Linked DNA regions of Macaca mulatta. Each later gene encodes a partner of the first gene's protein in a complex. Links are inferred from orthologs where the notes say so. Each region holds a gene or a part of one and is shown on either strand. Other genes may lie near its edges.

Evidence for each region.
Region 2: TERT (region 1) and NOP10 share a complex: the UniProt entries of both Homo sapiens proteins name them as parts of the telomerase holoenzyme complex. The link is inferred for Macaca mulatta from reciprocal best matches to the Homo sapiens genes TERT and NOP10.

What each region holds. Positions count from the first base shown.
Region 1 is NC_133411.1:2,402,507-2,406,019, reverse strand, and holds part of TERT (telomerase reverse transcriptase), read left to right. Parts: intron 1-584; coding exon 585-765; intron 766-1,453; coding exon 1,454-1,633; intron 1,634-2,109; coding exon 2,110-2,265; intron 2,266-3,513. UniProt on the Homo sapiens protein: Telomerase is a ribonucleoprotein enzyme essential for the replication of chromosome termini in most eukaryotes. Active in progenitor and cancer cells. Inactive, or very low activity, in normal somatic cells.
Region 2 is NC_133412.1:11,535,685-11,538,970, forward strand, and holds NOP10 (H/ACA ribonucleoprotein complex subunit 3), read right to left. Parts: upstream 1,913-3,286; 5' UTR 1,857-1,912; coding exon 1,803-1,856; intron 894-1,802; coding exon 753-893; 3' UTR 505-752; downstream 1-504. Other genes in the region: NUTM1 (NUT family member 1), read left to right, coding at 2,401-2,482. UniProt on the Homo sapiens protein: Required for ribosome biogenesis and telomere maintenance. Part of the H/ACA small nucleolar ribonucleoprotein (H/ACA snoRNP) complex, which catalyzes pseudouridylation of rRNA.

The sequences.
Region 1 (3,513 bases):
TTGGGAGAAAACACCAAAGGGCAGAGGTGTCAGGGAGCTGGTGGGCTCACGGGAGCTGGTTCTGCTCCTTGGCTGAGCTGCCCTGAGCAGCCTCCCCTGCCCTCTCCATTGGAAGGGATGCGGCTCTTTCTGCCTGAGGGTCCTGCCTGGGGCCAGACCTGGGCTACCCAGTGGCTGTACCAGAGGGACAGGCATCCTGTGTGGAGGGAGCATGAGTTCATGTGGCCCCAGATGCAGCCTTGCACCCCATCCTGGGTGGCGGCCACTGGACAGGCAGGCTGGGGGTTGATCATGGGACCAGGTTCCCTGGTGCTGATGGTGGGACAGTCACCCTGGGGGTTGACCACTGGACTGTGCGTTCCTAGGGTTGACTGTAGGACCAGGTGTCCAGGTGCCCTGCAAGTAGAGGGCTCTCAGAGGCGTCTGGCTGGCGTGGGAGGACGTGGCCCCGGGCATGGCCTTCAGTGTGTGCTGCCGTGGGTGTCCCGAGCCCTCACTGAGTCGATGGGGGCTTGTGGCTTCCCGTGAGCTTCCCCCTAGTCTGGCGCCTGGCTGAGCGTGTCCTGAGGGGCTCTCTGTTGCAGACAGCACTTGAAGAGGGTGCAGCTGCGGGAGCTGTCGGAAGCAGAGGCCAGGCAGCATCGGGAAGCCAGGCCCACCCTGCTGGCGTCCAGACTCCGCTTCCTCCCCAAGCCTGACGGGCTCCGGCCGATCGTGAACATGGACTACGTCGTGGGAGCCAGAACGTTCCGCAGAGAAAAGAGGGTGACTGTGCTTTGGTTTAGTGTCCTTTTTAAACAGAAGTGTGTTTGAGCCCCACATTTGGTATCAGCTTAGATGCAGGGCCCGGAGGAGGGGCCACGGGACCCAGCCCGGCCCACGGCACGGCTTACACCCATTTGTGGGCGTGGTGAGGTGGCCGAGGTGCTGGTGCCTCCAGAAAAGCAGTGTGGGGGTGTTGGGGGAGGTCCTGGGGCAGGGACAGGCTCTGAGGACCACAAGCAGCGGCTGGGCTGGGGCCTGGACGCAGCAGAGCGCGAGGTCCCAGGTTCGTGTCCTGCCGTGGTGCTCGGGCACCGGGTGCTTCCGTATGTGGGCCCAGGGACCAGGCCATGGCTGCCAGGACCCCACCGGGCTCTGAGGACCCTGGGCCCTCACCCCACGGCTCCTGCACCCCACCCCTGTGGCTGCTGTGGCTGTAGTGACCCCGTCATTTGAGGGGAGTGTGGGGTGAGGTGGACAGAGGTATGGCATGAGCATCCCATGTGCAACACACATGCAGCCGGGACCACGTTTCAAACAGGGTCTGGGGAAGCTGGGAGGGGTTCAAGGACCTAGGTCTGGGCGGCTGGGGACACTGGGGTGGGGCTGCTTCTCCCCTGGGTCCCTCTGGTGGGGCGGGGCACCTGGCCAGGTCCACTGTCCTGACCGTCTCCCGTGCCGTCCCCGCCAGGCCGAGCGTCTCGCCTCGAGGGTGAAGGCACTGTTCAGTGTGCTCAACTACGAGCGGGCACGGCGCCCCGGCCTCCTGGGTGCCTCTGTGCTGGGCCTGGATGATATCCACAGGGCCTGGCGCAACTTTGTGCTGCGTGTGCGGGCCCAGGACCCGCCGCCCAAGCTATACTTCGTCAAGGTGGGCGCTGGGACCCCGTCAGCAGCCCTGCTGGACCTTGGGGGTGGCTGCCTGATTGACACCTCATGCTGGGTGGGCCACAGGGAGTGCAGGTGACCCGGTCACTGTTGGGGACACACCCGGCACCTGGCAGGGAGGCCTTCAGCCTTTCCTGCAGCACATGGGCCCCGACTCTGCACCCCAACTGCCCCGGGCTCCTCCTCCCAGGGAGGGTCCCACTGGATTCCAGTTCCCGTCAGAGAAGGAACCGCACCAGCTCAGCCACCAGGCCCCGGTGCCTCGCACCCCAGTCCTGAGCCAGGGCCCTCCTGTCCTGAGGCTCAGAGAGGGCATACAGCCCGCCCTGCCCTTGGGGTCTGGAGAGGTGGGGCTCAGAGAGAGATGGGGGGACGCGGCTGCGGCCAGGCCCTGAGGGCAGAGGTGACGTCTGAGTTGCTGGGTGGCCGTTGTTAGCCTTCTTGCCTTCACTCACGCAGGTGGATGTGATGGGCGCATACGACACCATCCCCCAGGACAGGCTCACGGAGGTCATCGCCAGCATCATCAAGCCCCAGAACACATATTGCGTGCGCCGGTATGCTGTGGTCCGGAAGGCCGCCCATGGGCACGTCCGCAAGACCTTCAAGAGCCACGTAAGGCTCACGTGTGATACAGTTGTGTCCAGGATGTGTGTCCCTGGGATCTGGATGTGTCTAGTTTGCAGTCATGTCTGTGATGTGTTTCTGTGATGGAGGTACTTCCATGATTTACACGTCAGTGATATGTGTGTGTATCTGTGATATGCGCATGTGGCACGTGTGTGGCACGTGTGTGGCACGGGTGTGTCCGTGGTGCATGTGTCTGTGATGAGCATATTTGTGATGTATGTGTGTGTATCTGTGGCACGTGTGTGTGCGTGGTGTGTCTCTGGTGTGTGTGCCTGTGGTATGCATGAGCGTGTGTCTGTGCTGCGTGTCTGTGACGTGCATATTTGTGGTGTGTGTGTGCGCATGTGTCCGTGGCACATGCATGTCCACACTGTGTCTGTGGCGTGGGTGTGTGTGGCCCCTTGGCCTTCCTCCTTCCTCTTCCAGGCATGGTCCGTACCATTGTCCTCACGCTCTTGGGTGCTGGTTTGGTGAACTCCACATTCAGGGTCCTCCCTTCCAGCACAGGTGCCCCTGTCCTGTCACAGGGCTGGGCCTTGGAGACTCCAAGCCGGGTTTGAGAGGAGAGTAGGGACACTGGGTGGTACCTTCCTGGACCCCCGGCACCCCCAGGACCCCAGCCTGGCCCGTGCCGGCTCTATGAGAGACAGGAAGGCTGATTCAGGCCTCGCTCCCCGGGACACACTCCTCCCAGAGTGGCCGGAGGCCTTGGGGCTCAGCAGGGGTGAAAGGGGCCCTGGACTTGGGTTCCCACCCAATGGTCATGAGCACGCTGGAGTGGTAAGCCCCCAGAGTAGTGCCAGGCCAGGGTGCAGAGGTGAAGTGTCCCTGGAGCTTCAGTTTGGGGAAAGGCGCATGTGGAGACCTGCAAGGACCTCTTTCTCTGACTTCTTGAGGCTACTGCAGCTATTTGCAAATCTCATGTATGACTCAGCAGAATTTTACACTCGTGGAAACCTGATGGCTACCACCTGCGTCCAGGTGTAGAAAGTCGCCAGAGCCCAGGAGACGCCCCTCCCCACCACCCACCCATGCCCAGGTACAGAAAGTCACCAGAGCCCAGGAGAACCCCCTCCCCACCACCCACCCATGCCCAGGTACAGAAAGTCACCAGAGCCCAGGAGACCCTCCTCCCCGCCACCCACCCGTGCCCAGGTGTAGAAAGTCACCAGAGCCCAGGAGACCCCCTTCCTCACCACCCACCTGTGCCCAGGTGTAGAAAGTCACCAGAGC
Region 2 (3,286 bases), on another chromosome or scaffold:
AGGTTGTAGTCAGCCACCACTGCATTCCAGCCTGGACAACAGAGTGAGACTGTCTTAAAAAAAAAAAAAAAAGCCCACCACTAAATCAATGAGTTCAAAGATAAGTTAATAAGGAGAAAAATCAGACTAAACAGGTTAAGTAACTTTCTCAAAGTTATACAAAAAGGAAATATTGGTCTTCTTTCAATTCACTGCCTTCTCTCTATAATATACCTATTACTTTTTCAAGTACTCTTCCATTTTTAATCAAAATGTTATTTCAAGGGATGAGAAATTACGTGACAACAGGGGTATTTTTCAGTGAATGCTGACAGCTGTGAAAGTCTTAATCTTTCTTCCCCAATACCCTCCTACCACTAACAGCACATGACCACTCTTGCTACAGGACTGAAGTTTTTCTTCCAAGTGGTGTTGTTGCAACTCTCTGGAGTGCTCTCGTCCATCATCTCCCTCCCTTTAAAACAATACTACCAATCCTTTCCTCCAACAACACAAAATAAGAGCTTTTCAAATCATTTTATCTTTAATAATCTGGTAGTAACTTAAAATACGAAAAAAAAAGTCAAACGTGTTCCCTTTATGGGTGATGCCACCATGACTGCCTCACACAAGCATGCTCAATCACCAGGATGAGACTGGATGCCACAGAGTATGGCTGGCAAAAAGGCATCAGGGCTCACAGACTGAGGAGTTTGGTTACGGAGTCTCCGAGGGGTAACAGGCCGCAGAATAGACATCAGTTTAAGGGGCCTTCAGAGGACAGGGCGCGGTTGCTGGGTCATGAGCACCTTGAAGCGTTTCTTGATGGTGATTCGGTGTCGAGAGTATTTGTCATCTGGGGAGAACCGAGCAGGATGGGCTGAGCAGGTCTGTTGTCCCATCGGGTCAAATTTCTGCTCCGGGAATAGAGAATGTATGTCAGTACAGGAGTGATGGGGTGGGGACAGCGCGAAAAAGGGCAAACATGAAAACAGAAGATGCAATGATCAGCTCAAAAAGTTGTACAAATAAATAGAGAAATACAAAACTTAAAAAGGCTGGGCGCGGTGGCTCACGCCTGTAATCCCAGCACTTTGGGAGGCCGAGGCAGGAGGATGGCTTGAGGTCAGAAGTTTGAGACCAGCCTGGGCAATATGGCGAAACCTCGTCTCTACAACAAACAAACAAAACCAACCAACCAAACAAAAAAACCCTAAACCAAAAATTAGCCAGGTGTGGTGGCGCACGCCTGTAGTCCCAGCTACTCGGGAGGCTGAGGCAGGAAGATTGTTTGTGCCCAGGAGGCGGAGGTTGCAGTGAGCCGAGGCACTACAGCCTAGGCAACAAAGCGAGTCCCTGTCTTAAAAAAAAAAAGAAAAAAAAAGAAAAAAAAGAAAAGTGAGTGCAATGGCGCTATCCGGGTTTACTGCAAGCTCCGCCTCCCGGGTTTAAGCGATTCTCCTGTCTCAGCCTCCCAGGTAGCTGGGAAAACAGGCGCACGCCGCCACGCCCGGCTAATTTTTGTATTTTAGTAGAAACGTAGTTTCACCGTGTTGCCCAGAATAGTCTCTAACTCCTGAGCTAAGGTAATCCACACGCCTCGGCCTCCCAAAGTGCTAGGATTACAGGCGTGAGCCACTGCGCCCGGCCAATTTTGTTTTTTTAAAATAAAAAATTCGTCGCGCGCTCCCGGTTCTCCCCCACCTCGGTTCTGCACTTTCTGGTTCCCTCCACCCAGCTAGGTAACTCCGTGTATGGCCTCACCCATTCCTCCCATCTACATTTCTCGCCATGCCTATTTACAACCTATTTTCTCTCCTCACCTTCAGCGTATAGACCCGATCTCCCTCCTCGTTGAGGTAATACTGGAGAAACATGACTGCTCGTAAGCCAGAGGTCCCAATTCGCTCCGCTGCTCCGTCTGCAGGGGTCCGCCCGACCGCGTCACGTGTTCGTCAATTTCCTTCCTGCATAGCCGGAAGTCTCTCTCCTGGCACGCCGGAAAATGTAGTCAATTTTTGCCTTATTTTCAGCTAGCCAGAAGGGGGCGCACGAGGGCAGGGCTTGGCTTGGGGGGCCACACTTGCAACTTTGCAGGCTAAAACACGTGGAGTGTGCCTACTGTGTGCTAGGTACACGGCGCTAGAGGGGGGTAGGGATGGATGTGGATAGAACATTGACGTATAGAAGCTTGTCTTTATCTCAAGATACACACCCCTTTCAGGAGCAGTGAGTTTCCAGTGCCTGAAGAAACAAGGGCTCCAGGATTCAGAGCCCCTTTGCCCTAGGGAAGAAGGAAGAGGTTTTCTTCCCTCCCCTCTTTTACATCCAGTTTCCCTGCTCCATTTCAAAGCGTTGGCGGTAAAGAATGCATGTTGAGTATCAATATTCCGTAAAGCGAAAATAGCGTAAAGTTATTTTATGAAACGAAGTATGTTTCAGCGGTCGAACCAAGATTTAAACTTAGGTCCCTACCGCAAATTCAGCGCTCTTTCTTATAGTGGTGAGTAGCTAATAATAGCGTAATAAAGTGCACCTTCTAGGAGATTTTACAATTTTTTAAAGAATATAGAAGTTCTCCTTATTCGTTTAAAGAAATGAAAATGAGAACCAAAATATAATTACAAAGATCATCATTACGCCTTATTTATAATGACAAAAGCGTTGGCATATATGTTGTGTAACCAGAAAAACCTGCAAGGTTTTTTTTTTTTTAGAATATGGTTTGGCCGGGCGCGTTGGCTCACGCCTGTAATCTCAACACTTTTGGAGGCTGAGGCGGGCGGATCACAAGGTCAAGAGTTCGAGACCAGCCTGGCCAATCTGGCGAAACCCCGTCTCTACTAAAAATACAGAAAAAATTAGCTGAGTGTGGTGGTGGGCGCCTGTAGTCCCAGCCACTTCAGAGGCTGAGGCAGGAGAGTCATTTGAGCCGGGGAGGCAGAGGTTGCAGCGAGCTGAGATAGCGCCACTGCACACCAGCCTGGGTGACAGAGTGGCACTCCGTCTGAAAAAAAGAATATGGTTTGTGACCGGGTGCAGTAGCTCAGGCCTGTAATCCCAGCACTTTGAGAGGCCGAGACAGGTGGATCACAAGGTCAGGAGTTCAAGACCAGCCTGGCCAATATGGTGAAACCCCGTCTTTACTAATAAAAATACAAAAATTAGCGGGACGTGCTGGCGGTCACCTGTAGTCCCAGCTACTCGGGAGGCTGAGGCAGGAGAATCGCTTGAACCCGGGAGGCGGAGGTTGCAGTGAGCTGAGATCACGCCACTGGTCTCCAGCTTGGGTGACAGAGCAAGAGAC